Linked DNA regions of Coturnix japonica. The protein of the gene in region 1 interacts with the protein of each later gene in a pairwise test. Links are inferred from orthologs where the notes say so. Each region holds a gene or a part of one and is shown on either strand. Other genes may lie near its edges.

Region 1 (6,594 bases):
CACTAGGCTGCCAAGAGATGAGCAATGATTAGGTGCCTTGCCTCCTTAAAACTTTGTCTGCTGCCAGCCCCAAATCCCCTTCTCCCATTTCCAGTGCAGCTTTCAGCCCGCAGGATAAGCGGATGATGAGGTATACAGTTGTGGTGTGGAAGGGATTCAAACAATGTGAATGAGATTCTTATCTTCTGGGACTTGTGTGATACAGAGAGTGAAGAGGAGGGAAGACAAACTGTTCTTCATTTGCAGAAAATGCTTTAATCTTTTGCTATGCTGTGTGGCTATGGCAGAGGAGAAAGCAGGGAAGCTGTCTTCCTGCTTAGATCAAATTGCCAGGCCTTTAATTTTGACCAGATGCACCATGCAATTATGGCATCTGATGGGTAGTTATAAATGAATTAGTCTTTGACAAACTGAACTTCATTTCAAGTAATATCGGCATCACAGAAGACTCAGGAAACTGAATTCTATGACAGGGTCAGTGCCTTTCCCTAAGCACTCAAATTTCTTGGCAGAATAAAAGGAGGCCTGAGTGCAAAGAGACAGAGTATTCTAATTTCTAAGCACATTCTGGAATGGACGCCTTGCTGCTCTTCCCACAAGTAAGCAGTGCAGGATGCTGACGGGCACTCTGAACCTTGCCTCTGTGCCTGCCAAAATCTCCCTTTTTATTGTGGTTCCTATTGGCGTTATAGGTAGTATTCCTGCCACCACGCCCCATGCTCTAATTGCCATGAAGTACAGGAGGTTCAAGCACGCTTGGTTCCCAAGGCTGCTAATGAGCTCCAGCTCTCCTTGCCCTTAATGAACCAAGACTTGTCTGGGGGGATTCTTGTCTGCCCCTCTTTCTTCCTGGTCAGGGAAGGAGGCGAGAGTTCACACAGCAGAACAATGACTTTACAGTGCGGGGGCCGTGCAGCTGTGCCATCTGAAGCTGTGCTTGGTTATGAGCAACAAAGCTTAAATAGATTGTACTGTGAGGAGGTATGGCTCCGTGAGTGTGAAGCGTAGCTCTTGCTTCTGCCTCACTGAGCTGTCCGCTCGTAGCAGCGATGGGGCCCTGATGGGAGCTTCTGCAGGGAGAGCTGCGTGGGGCGACGCTTTTGCATTCTCTCTGTGTTGCTGAAAGCAGAATTGGGAGCAAAATTAAGTTTTAGAGGATCTCTGAGAAGGCTGCGCTGCTGCCTCCTCTAGAAAATCCCTTCAAAAGTCACCTATTCCTAATCCACCTCAGATGGTTAATAAGGCCACTAGAGCAAGCGTAGTTCAGGAGTTTCAGCCATGGAAAGTATTTACACAACAAAGTATGCACACAGACAAACCAAATCTCACTTTTCACTGTCTTTCTCACTGCAGCCTCTTTTCATGGGTTTGAATCACCAGGAATTTGGGCTCAATTATTTCTTGTGCTTCATCTTTCTCGGAGTATTTCAATTAGGGCACTGCAATCCTCTGGCTATATTTCTCTCACTGCAAACACACGTGTCAAATTTACACATATATACGTGCCTGTACGTACGGTACAAATTATCTTCAAATACATAGGAGCAGCATATTAATATAGTACGATGAATACATCCATGAAAAACAGAAAAATATCACAGGCTTTCCTTGATACACTGTTCCCTGTGTATATTGGTGTAAATATTTACACAGGTGAACACAGATGTGTAACCTAGGTGCCATGCTATAACAATAACTTGGCTTTTCAACCTGAGAAAAGAACTGTGTGAATTAAGATAATAATAAGAGATGTAAGGTTACCGGCTGTTATACTCTGGGCTAACTCTTGCACAACGCTTCACAAAGGTGAAGTTGTTTAAAGTTTTACTATTGGATTAGCAAAGCCAAAAGCAGCATCTGCAAAAGAAATCTGATTTTGCTTTAGTAGGCTGTTTGAAAATCATTTTTTTGTTGCTTTAATCATTCTGGTTTTTTAGCAGTGCAGAGAAACATCTGCTGCTTTCCTCAGTCGCATGAGCGAGAAAGAGAAAGCGAAAGAATAAGGAGCTTTTGCTTTGTATTCCTAAGCAAACAGAGAGAATAGGAAAAAAAAAAGCCATCTAGTTTTAAATACCTGACGTGTGCATGTTCAGGTTCAGAACTTTTGCTCGCTCTCCTGCCCTGTTGGTGGACCGATAGCACTGGGAGCTGCGGCGAAGCTGACAACCCCCCATGGCTGACCCCTCGTGTTGTCGCTCGCCTAATCGAATTTTGCATGTGTTTCCAGATAGCTGATCAGCTTCCCTGGATTTCGCTGACGCCACAGGAAAGCTTTGCCTGAAGATGGAAACACTGGAGTCGGAACTGACCTGCCCTATCTGTCTGGAGCTGTTTGAGGACCCACTGCTGCTGCCCTGCGCTCACAGTCTGTGCTTCAACTGCGCGCACCGCATCCTGGTCTCCCACTGCGCCTCCAACGAGCCGGTGGAGTCTATCACCGCCTTCCAGTGCCCCACCTGCCGCTATGTCATCACCCTCAGCCAGCGCGGTCTAGAGGGGCTCAAGCGCAACGTCACCCTGCAGAACATCATCGACCGCTTTCAGAAAGCCTCGGTGAGTGGGCCCAACTCCCCCAGCGAGACCCGTCGGGAGCGGGCATTTGACAGCAACAGCATGTCCTCCTGCGAGAAGGTCCTCTGCCAATTTTGCGACCAGGACCCTGCCCAGGAGGCAGTGAAGACATGCGTGACCTGCGAGGTCTCCTACTGCGAGGAGTGCCTGAAAGCCACGCACCCCAACAAGAAGCCTTTCACTGGCCACCGGCTGATCGAGCCCATCCCGGACTCTCACATTAGGGGATTAATGTGCTTGGAGCATGAAGACGAGAAGGTGAACATGTACTGCGTGACGGACGACCAGCTGATCTGCGCCCTGTGCAAGCTGGTCGGGCGGCATCGGGACCATCAGGTGGCAGCTCTAAGCGAGCGCTACGACAAGCTGAAGGTGAGTGCTGCCCTCACACCCCATATTGAGTGTTGAGGAGGGAAGGTGTCCTGCTACTGAGTGTTACGTTTCCTTGTTTGGGCATGGGCTGGTAAAGGCAGGTGTGTGGTCTGTCATCAGATGAGATGCATGTACAGACTGCTTTGTGCTCATCAAAAAGGGGTCAGATTTTCCCTTGAAGAAAGATTCCTCGGTTGCGCTTTGATTTTTCTGCTGTACGCAGTGTACACTATTGCTAGCACAATAAGCTAGTATTAGCTTATCTGTGTGCATCCGTCCACATCTTCCCTCTTGGCAGCTGGCAGGGTTTTATGTTGGCTACACATACACAGGCCCTGATGGAAGTGTCAGGTGTTCTTTGCATATATTCTGCTGTTGTTTATTTTTTATCAAGCTGCTTTTATCACAGAAAACTCTTTTCATCATTGCTAATAGGAAATGCATTTATACCTGCTGATTGCAGGGGCTGCAGCTGCCTTGTCAGCTAGGGAAACCAAATGCCAGCCCCAGTCCTCCTGTGCTGCCCTGAAGGAAACTAAACCAAAAAACTCCTTCAGCTCCTTGTGGCATTCCACAGTTCCCCCCTCCCACCTGGCACCCACCTGGCCCATGTGGGATGTCCTCACTGGGTGAAACCAGCAGGCCATGATGCAGACCTGCTCAGGTTGCTCTGCAGGCTTCCACTGAGGCCATCAAGTGGCCTTGGACCCAACACATTGATTTAGGTGCTGCAGCAGAGAGGAATGAATGAGGTTCCCTCAGGCTAGTCTGTATGTACTTGTCTGCATGCGTTTTGGGGGGATTCCTTGGTTATGTTGAGAAGACACAAGTGTGGAGTGCGAAGATAACAATAATAAGTTTTGGAGATGTGAGAAGAAACTGAATTAAAAGATCTAACTAACTGGAAATGTATTCTTAAATAACTTGAAGATAAAAATATGAGGCTGCATGCATAGGTGATAACTTTGTGTGAGTGCAGGTAAATTCTGTATGCCATATGGTTTTTGTGCCTCTATGCATGTGCAGATATGCAATTCATGCCGCACGATTATATGAATATAATGAAAGATAGTTCTTTACTTGGACCTGATAGCTTCTTTCCATTCCTTAATGAGTTTTTTTAATCTTAAAGAGAAGTTGTTATTTCAGCTTTACATATTTATTTTGTTTTTTTCTGTAGAAGTACTTTTTTTTTTTTTTTTTTTTTTTTAAATAATTAGGAGTTTAGCCACTGATAAAATGGGACGTCGGCTCTAAATGTGAATGGAAGGTGCATGAATCTACAGTGCTCTTCAATAATCCAACAGGTTACATGCTTACCAGGTGCTACAATTCAGCAAACTAATAGAGACTGAACACCTGTATCATTCCTCAACTTGATAAGAGTAGGAATGTGCAACTTGATGTGAAATACCTTTGGAGTTCAGTATTGGCTAAGTGTATGTTTGAGGATGTCATATGGTCAATCTTGTAAGAAGATTTTAAAAAGCAGGTGTCTTCACTTGAGATTATTGGCTAAATATTGCACATGGTTAAGAAAAAAATGTGTGTGTGTTTGCATAATCTCTGTCTTTCCTGTGCAAAGGTGCCTACGCAGACTCTGGATGGGTATCTCAAACAAACAAGCAGCATTCACATTAGATGTTTTCCAGATTAGCAAACCTGGCAGAAGCCTAATAGAGTACTTCCCACTAGTCTCATCAATGAGTAATTCAGGTACTAATTTAATGATTAGTGTGGGCCTGGATCAAATAACTCTTTCTTACAAATGCAATTTCTGTCATTATTTATAATATCCATGCAATTTTTGTTTAGACTTAAACTCTCTTTGTTCTCAAACTACCTGGAAGTAGTTTACACAGGAAATTATTAGCCGACATGAAATCCAATTTCCATCCTTTTTGTCATGAGCGAAATAGACTTATTTTATTTAGTTAATCCCTGCAGTGATACCAATCATGCCAATTTTGCCACTAGTTTGAGCCCAGGGACAGTAGGCTATATGATTTCCGTCCAGATCCAGAGTCCATTCTCTTTTCATAAGAAGGCAATCAGAAATTGACGTCCTTGCTTTCCCTACTGCCCCTTCCATCTCAGTAATGTGAGCTGTTTTATATATTAAACTCCAAGAATGAGATTTTCAGCTCAGGAGATTGGATTTCTTCCTTAGGAGTAAAGGAATTAGGTTTATTTACATCACTGTTTAGCAGTGAACAGGCAAGACAGTCTGGTCCCTTTTCATGTTGAGGCAACCTTCTTCATAAATGGTAATGCCATCCCTTGAGTAACTGCTGGTTTTGTTGTTTTAAGTCTTTGGTTCAAGCTTGCAGTTAGTCTTTGCTAAGTTACAGATAATGTGCGGATGCCAGTGGTAAACACAGTGTCCAAATAATTCAGAAAATGCCCATTTGAAAAACAGGTTGTTGCTTGCTATGTTGTTGCTGAGGATTTTTAAATACATAGGGTTTGTGTGATAGATGGGTTATGCAAATCTTAAAAGAAAATTATAAAGGAATGAGTGCGTGCTAGTCAATAGGGTAGTTGATTCATTCAAAAATTGTTGGCTAATTGTATCTTTAAAGAAGAAAAACAAAACTGCTTCATGTAATGCTTTCTTTTCTTGCAATTTTCTTTTTAAATCAACACATTGTTGATGCCAACAACAGCAACTAGTGTGTAGCTCTAGGTGTCAGGCTATGCTAATTACTTGCATTCTCATCCAGCGGTGTTACTAATTATTTAAACTATATCTCATCCTTCATTAAGCATAGGACAATAGACGCCATTACAATCTAGCTCCCTTTGTGGCAAAAATGAAGCCCTTTAATTAGGAGTTCTGTATACTTGTCCAGCAGAGACGTCTATGCTAAAGCATGTTTAGCAGTCGGTGTAATTGCAATTGTGGACATCTGAAAATGAGAAAGTGTTTTCCTTTGGCAGCTATTGCTCTAGCCCTGAGAGATGCTTTTCTTAATGAACTTTTACTGTGGGTGGAGGGGTCTGAGGTCACTTATTTCAGAAGCAATTCATTCTTGGTTACTAAGAGCACATGGTGTAATTACATGCTTGTAGATGTTTTTGTTGTTTTAGAGTGTACAGCCTTTTTTATTTTTATTTTTATTTTTATTTTTATTTTTTTTTTAAATATAGGCCATAGAAACAGATGCATTTAAAAAAAAAAAAAAAGAAAGAAAACTCATATACCATGACAAAAACAGAGAATAGGAAATATTCTGGTTATCGCTGCATTTATGAGGTGATGGTCAGAATTGTGGTATAAGTTAGAAATAGCTTCTAGCTGCATAAACATTGAAAGTTGTAAAAGCAGAAGGTGCGAATGCCCATGTTTAGTGCAGTGTAATAGTACAAAGAACATGTTTTTGCCTAATTACTTTTGATGTTGATTTTTTGCTTTTTGTCTTGTGGAGATATGAAGGAAAAGACAAATGTGCGCTCATATTTTCAGAGAAAATTAATGAAAATTGCCATCGTTCTTCAGACATATTTAAGCTTTAGAAAATGATAAGAAAAATGAAAAGAGGGAGAAGGTACAGGGTGGGTGTGAATGGAAGAATAATGTCCATTTAATTTTAGCAAAAAGCCATGAAGAAATGTCACAAAAGAGGAAGATAGATGGTAAATCATATTTTG
Region 2 (7,294 bases), on another chromosome or scaffold:
GTCCCAGGAGAGATTTACAGGCCCCTCCTGCCCTTTCCTGGAGGGCTCCCATGCCCTGAGAGGGCAACGTGCAGTGAGCAGGCAACAAACTTGTGGTGTGTCTGTGTGCCCGGTGGTGCTGAAGGCAGTTTGCACAGGACGAGATGTCAGCACACACTTTTCCTTCTCACTGCCCCTTACTATGGGAATCTCCCCCACAGAGCCCTTACACGATGTATAATGTGTACACAGCTTTCCTTACCCCAGGGCTTCCACAAGCTGCAGAATAGTCCAGCTTCCATCTTTCACCCCTGGAGAAAAGAGATAAAGAGAGTGAACCAAAGAGACTCCCAGACAGTTATTGAGGCAGAGAGCAGCTCTCCCGATGCTCCCTAGGGGACAAAAGAAACCAAGCTCTTAACAAGGCAGTGGTTGAGCCAAACAGCCCAGACATTAACAAGCACTCAGCTTCCATCACCTCTACTCTGAGCAACACCTGCACAAATGCCCTCCAAGGCAGAAAGCACAGAGAAATATGGTTTTGTGGTTACTGTACGACACAGTGCTGGGACTGCTGGAGTGTATTTGCAGCTCTGACTCAGGCACCCCAGCCAGGTTGCTTCACTTACCTCCTGCAACTGAACTGGGGGAAGAGTCACTCCCTAGGAGGCTTTGGTGAGAATCTACTGCACCCTTCAAAAGCCACGGCAGAGGGGCTCCTACCCCTGCAGTCAGTGCAACACTCACCCACTAAAACAGCTCTGCGTGCCTTTGGTCCCCAGGATTCACCATTTCTCTGCCCTGCTGAGGGCTTGTCTACACAATTGGTGGGGCACCCACCTATCAGAAAGCCCAGAGGTTTCATTTGGGACTGTCCCAGGCCTTGCCTCAGCTGGAGTATCCTGCTATTGCCAGCATTTACTGTCTCTTTCTAAAGCAGTTAATTCCAGTATTAAGTTGTGCTGTTCATTGGAGAGTAGTTTCTGTGGATGGAAGAAGAAATGCCCACAATTTCTGTTAGCAAGCAGCCCTGGCTCCAAAGACAGCACTTCCAGTCCCACTTGGCACAAAGAGGATAGGAGGCACGGCATGGAGAGCCATGAGGAAAAAGGAGAGTCCAGCTGGCCGCAGGATGGACAGCCACAGGCTGAAGAAGAGGTGCCTCAAGTGAGACTGAGCTGCTGGCAAAGCCTCTCGCAGGAAAACAGAAGCATGGTAGCAAGCAGGCACTGTGCTTGAGCACAAAGCAGAGTGCTCCTTCACACCTAGGATCCCACCACCTTATTCCAGAGCACAGCTCCTGCATCCTCATGACTCTGACCTCTGCATGATGCAAAAGGTCAGAGACACACCAGTCCCACAGGTGAGCACTGACCTGCTCTACACTTTCAAAGCCTGAATGCAATATTTAGACAAAGGTGCCGGTGACCTCACCAATAGGAAAGAGCTAAAGAGTAACGATCTGGCCACAATCAGCCACCCGTGTTCTTGTGGCTATGAACCCCCTCGCTCTGGTCTCAAAGGTCTGCTCGATTTCACTGTGCATGAGCGAACCACACGAGCCCAGCAGCATGCAGAGCAGCAGCAGCACGCAGCACAGCTGAACTGCGAGCTCAGCTCCAGCTGTGCACCTTGTATCCCAGTGTGCTCCTTTACCAGAAGGGCTGCCCTGCCCTGGTGGTGTTCCTAGAGTGTGAGGCTAAACAGAAGCGAGCAAGTTACCCTTTGTTATATTCTTATTTGAAACCCATCAGCCTTCCCTGACATCTCCCTTTCACGTGCCACATTTCATATATCATTTCCATACACTTTCTTCTCCTTACGTTTCCCCAGCTCCCTTACAATGGGAGTGCAGCAATTCCCAGCGGGCACAATGGATTTCTCTAACGGCGTCATTCGTCTCCCGGTGTTTTAACAGGAGCACACTCAGCCCCTCTGACACACGCTGCCTTACGCAGCCCCAGCTGCGACAGCACCGAGCTGCCTCCCACCTGTCAGGGCACATTGAATGCAGCGCACAAAGGAAGCTCGTTCAACGTGTTTCTTCCCACAGTCACACAGAAGGCGCCGAGCTCAGAATAAACCCTGTCCTTCCCTCAGCGCTACGTGCTGTACCGTAACGCTTCCAGCCGTGACTCCATACAGGTCACGGAGGCCGCACGATGCCGGCATCCCCCCGTCATCCCACGTGTGTCTGTCACAGCGCCGTGCGGCTCGTGGGACCTGGCGGACACGTGGCCCAGCAGCCCCGCACCCCACCCCGCCCCGCCCCGCCCGGTACCTGCGGCCAGCTCCGCGTTGCGCCCGTCGTGCTGCCCGCTCACCCAGTCCCGCACGGCAGCACCGAGCTCCTCCGCTCCCGCCGCCATGTCGGCCCGTTCCCCGGCACACACCGGCCGCGCTCCCGCCGTGCGCACGCGCAGCCCCGAGGCATGAGCCCACGGCACATGCGCGACCCCGGCGCCCCCTCCTCACCTCGCCCCCCCGGCCGGTATTGGTGGGGGCGGCACGGCGCTGTACGGCGGCGCGGGAGGGACAAAAGCCGCGGGCAGGACGGACGCGCGCACGTGGGCGGCGCTCCCCGCGGGGCCGCGGCCGCGACGGGGCGGTCACATGCGCACGTGGGGGGCGGGGCGCGCCCAGGGCCGGCTTTGGCGGCGGGGCGGCTCGGGCGGTCGGAGTCGGGCGGGGCGGTTTGACGACGCCGGAGCCCGCGGTGCAGCGCGGCGTGGAGCCCGGCCGGACACATGCCGAGCCGCCCGCGCCGCCGCCGCCGTCGGTGAAGCCCCGGCCATGGGCGGCTGCGTGGGGCGGCAGCGCCGGGAGCGGCCCTCAGCGGGGAGCCCCCGCAAGAGAGCAGGTGAGCGGCACCGCAGGGCGCGGGGCGTCCGGTCGCGGCGTGCCCGGTGCTGGAGCTGTCCGCACGGCACCGCCGGCCGTTCTCTTCCTGCCGCCCGGTTGGGGTCGGTCCCGGGTCGTCCCGGCTCTTCGCTGTGCCGGGGATTCCCCCGCTCGTTCCCCGTGCGCCCCGTCGGTGCCGTGCCGTACCGTGCCGTGCCGTGCCGGGCTCCCGGTTCGAGCCGCCGCGCATCCCCGGCGTGACCCCGTAGTGCCGCGGTGCCCGTGCCGGGATTGGCTCGTGGTGCCCCGCCAGCCCCTCGTGTCCCCGGCCCGTCCCCAGCACCGCTCGCTCGGACCGGCCGGGCTGGGGGCAGCGCTCCCGCTGCTGCAATTCGCCCCGTTGCGCCCCATCGTTCCCCAACGGGCCCCGCCAAGCGCCGGGCGGGCGGCACGGTGAGTCACTGCCCGCCCGCTGCACCCACACGGGGAGGAGCAGGAAGCACCGGGCGCGGGGACCCCGCGGCGTGGGCCTCTCACGGGAGAGGTTTTCCCACTGACCGGTGCCCGGCTGTCACGGAGCGGGCGGTGCTGCAGGATGCTGCTGGGCACACAGAGCAGGGCTCGGATCTGTGCGCTGTGCTGCTCGCTGTCCTCGTGTCCCCTCCTTCCCCCAGCACTGCAACCCGAGGCTGGGGGCTCTGAGCTGCTCCGGCTCATAGGTGGCTCATAGGAGGGCTGACCCTGCGGGCTGCAGGGTGCTGGAAGTTGTCTGTCCGGAGCAGCCCTGCAGGGAGCTGAGCTGGGCAGCAGCAGGTACGGCATGTTGGGTTTGAGTGAGAGCACAGCTGGGCAACTCCTGACCCCCCGTGTCCCCCGAGGGTGTGGAGTTGCACAACGGCTGGGAATAGAGCAACACAAGATGATTAGAGGCTGGGTCCAGGCTGGGTGGCAGCAATAAATAGAAGAGGCTTAGCTCCTGCCTACCTGCCCAGGGCTGCCGGTGGCTGTGGGGTGGCGGTTGGGCCACAGCCTGTCCCTGCTCCTGCAGACTGGGCTCCCTGCCACACCGTCAGCTTGGGTGCCTCTCTGCAGCCCCTGGATTCCTCTTCCTTGCTGAGCACCAGCCCTCTTCCCTTTCCTGCAAGTGGAGCTGGGGGATGGTGCCGGCTGGGAGCTGTGCTGCCTGGCTCAGATGTGTCCATCCCTAACACTAAAGGACCTCGTTTCCTGGCAGTGTTACCTACTCTTCCATCCTGTGCCTGCTCCTGGCTGCTGCTGTGTGGGGCCACGGGCACAGCCACCTCTCAGTCAATAAAGGTGACAGCACCAGGATGGAGCTGTGGGACAGGAGACCTCCATCACCCTTTAATCCCCATGTGTCCTTGTCTGGCTGATGCTGCAGAGAGAACGTCCTGAACTGTCCTGTTCTCACTGGGACAGGGTCACAGCCCCAGACACTGTCCCTCTGCAGCTTGTGGTGGCCCAGGGATGGTGTGGTGGCCCACTTGTTGCAGCCATGATGCTGGTGGCTCCCTCCTCTGCGGTCCTCACCATGTCCTTCAGTGCTGGTGGTGTCCACTGTACCCGGGGCAGGTGCTGTCTCTGACCTTGCTCTGCTCTGCCACGCTGCAAATCCCTCCTGCCCAGCACCGTGACTGCTGAATCGGCAGTGCTGGCTGCAGCCCTCACTGCTTGGAGATGTGGTGCAAGCAGGATGCTGCCTTCCCAACCCTGCTTAGGTGTTTAGCTCCCAACCCTCGGGGTGGCTGCATTCTGTGCCCTGGTCCATGTGTCACATCCAGCCCCAGGAAAAGCCTTTGGGAGGATGTGACAGCCTGTCCCCAGCAGTGGTGGCTAACTCTAGTGGTAGCTGCACGTGCAGGCAGGTGGCATCCCCCTGCCTAGCAAGTCATAGCAGCACTCAGCATCCTTCCTGCCCTGTCTGACTCCACTCACTCTACACCCCTGCAGGCATGGTGTGGGCTGGCTGCCCCACAGAACACAGCAGCAGGAAGGAGCTGTTGACACTCTTTGTCCCCAGCCCAGCTGGGAGTGACAACAGCTCCTTCCTGCCCCACGCTTCCGGCCCTGCTGTGATGCAGGTGGCACGTGGCCATTCCCACGGGGCTGGAGCTGCCGTGGGTGCTTCACAGCTTGGTCACACAGGTGTGCTGCCAGCCCAGGGACAAGCTTTCCCTGCCACTTGGCATGGCATCCAGCTGCAGCTGCCATGCAGGGGGCTGCTCACAGTGCTGTGAGGCTGCTGGGGGGTCGGCAAGGCTCGGTGTGGCACAGTGCTGTCGCCTCCCGCAGCACTACCCTGGGGTGAGCAGAGGAAGAAGTCATGCCCCCCTCTTTGCTGGGGCTGCGGCTCAGCCCCTGTAATCCCTTTCGCTCTCTGCCGCACCAGCTTATTTCCTGGCTAATTCCCCAAGCTATAAATACTGCTCTGCCTCAAAGGGCCCCAGGCCCTGCAGCCACCCCAGGCTGCCCCTGGCATCCCATCCACAACCCCTGCACCCCACCCGGGATGCTGCTGCATTTCTCGTGGCTGTGTTGGGAGCTGTCCCACTGGGCATGCTGTGGGGAAACCCCGATAGCCCGTGGATCCCTTTACTGTACTGGGAAATGGGGCACCCTTGTTTGAGCCTCCCTCTGTCCCCCCAGGCCGCAATGAGCCCCTGAAGAAGGAGCGTCCCAAGTGGAAGAGCGACTACCCCATGACAGACGGGCAGCTGCGCAGCAAGAGGGATGAATTCTGGGACACAGCGCCCGCCTTCGAGGGCCGTAAGGAGATCTGGGATGCCCTGAAGGCTGCAGCCTATGCCGTGGAGGTCAACGACCACAGCCTGGCCCAGGCCATCCTGGATGGAGCCAGCATCACCCTGCCCCACGGTGAGGGGTGGTGGTGGGGGGGATGCAGGAGTGGGGGTCCCCATTTGGGGGTGCCCTGCATGGCTCCATGTCTCACCCCGCTGTCCGCAGGGTCGCTGACGGAGTGCTACGACGAGCTGGGCAACCGCTACCAGCTGCCTGTGTACTGCCTGGCACCGCCTGTCAACCTGATCCTGGAGCGGGGCGAGGAGGAGGCGGCTGAGCCAGCTGAACCACTCCCCAATGCCCGGCGTGAGTTCGCCCTCAAGGTGCGCCTGTCCACTGGCAAGGACCTGCGGCTCAGCGCCAGCATGGCCGACACCATCGGGCAGCTGAAGAAGCAGCTGCAGGCGCAGGAGGGCATCGACCTGGCCTGGCAGCGATGGTTCTTCTCTGGCAAGCTGCTCACCGACCGCACGCAGCTGCAGGAGACCAAGATCCAGAAGGATTACGTGGTGCAAGTCATCGTCAACCAGCCTCTGCCACCCAGGAACTGAGCTCTGGTGGGGAGTGGGGAGGCCCCTTCCTGCACCGAGGCCCAGCGGCACCTTGGGGATGTCCAGTGCCGTGTTCCAGCCCTGCTGGGGTCATCGGGTCCCCTCCCCAGGGCTGTGGGCTGGGGACATGGGCACATTTGCTGTGGAAGGTGTGAGACCAAATGTGTGCTGGGGGGGCCCCTGCCATGGGGCTGCCCCTTGGGGAGAGGCTGTGACCCGCCGGCCGGGCTCCTGCTGCCTCTGGCCCGGGGGCTGCAGTACTGGGCGGAGATGTCTCCCCTCTGTACATAGTCTGTGTATTTATCAATAAAGCCTTTTCATCCTTCCTCCCTGCTGGAGATTGCTGGGGGCTGTCCCCTGGCCCATGTGCCCATCTGACATCTGTTCCAGTGTCACCTGGTAAAGACAGCTGGACACAGGGGATGCCAGGGGTCTGAGATCTGTTCCCCTTTACAGCCCTGGGTGTCACCCCTGCGCACCCCTCTCCTTCCTGTATCTGTGGCACTCATGGGATACAGCACCCAAGTGTGGCCCTGGGTCCTACACGTGCCCAGGAGTGTGACGTGTCCTCATCTGTCCCTCATCTGCTTGATCCCAGGGGCTGGTGCCCAGCGCATTAACTGTCCCAGCACGAGGTGCACTGGCCTCATCTTACAAATAGGGAAAGCAAAGCCTGGAGTGGCTGAGCAATGTTCCTGGCACTGGGAACAGCTGCGGGCTCTGTCTGCCGGCCCTGCTGCCTGTGTGCATGCGGTAAGGAGACCAGGTTCTGGATGCTCTGGACCTGAGGTCATCCTCCAAAGCAGCATGGAGCCACAGTGAGCATCCTGACTGCCCAGTGTGGGCGGCATGGACTCAGGAACCACAGGGCTACCACATACCCTGGCACCGCTCCATCCAGGGGCTGGACTGGCTACACAAGCCCTGCATGCCCCAGGTCCCTGTGCCCAGTACGAGGGTCCCAGGCAGCCAGATGAGGATGGGGCATGGGTTGCTTTAAGAGCATGGAGGAGGTGAGCCAGGGGCACCAGAAAGCAGCAGGGTGAGCTCATGGCAAAGCTGCCCCAGTCATGTGGAGAAGGCACAGCTGTTGGTGCCCTTGG

Evidence for each region.
Region 2: the proteins of MID1 (region 1) and UBTD1 interact in binary tests that used the Homo sapiens proteins (3 or more experiments, as listed by UniProt). The two-hybrid records come from large-scale screens. The link is inferred for Coturnix japonica from reciprocal best matches to the Homo sapiens genes MID1 and UBTD1.

The regions. Positions count from the first base shown.
Region 1 is NC_029516.1:112,265,358-112,271,951, forward strand, and holds part of MID1 (E3 ubiquitin-protein ligase Midline-1), read left to right. Parts: intron 1-2,227; 5' UTR 2,228-2,283; coding exon 2,284-2,943; intron 2,944-6,594. UniProt on the Homo sapiens protein: Has E3 ubiquitin ligase activity towards IGBP1, promoting its monoubiquitination, which results in deprotection of the catalytic subunit of protein phosphatase PP2A, and its subsequent degradation by polyubiquitination.
Region 2 is NC_029521.1:19,480,039-19,487,332, reverse strand, and holds UBTD1 (ubiquitin domain-containing protein 1), read left to right. Parts: upstream 1-2,539; 5' UTR 2,540-2,592; coding exon 2,593-2,839; intron 2,840-5,487; coding exon 5,488-5,715; intron 5,716-5,805; coding exon 5,806-6,191; 3' UTR 6,192-6,517; downstream 6,518-7,294. Other genes in the region: MMS19 nucleotide excision repair protein homolog, read right to left, coding at 242-290, 2,261-2,348. UniProt on the Homo sapiens protein: May be involved in the regulation of cellular senescence through a positive feedback loop with TP53. Is a TP53 downstream target gene that increases the stability of TP53 protein by promoting the ubiquitination and degradation of MDM2.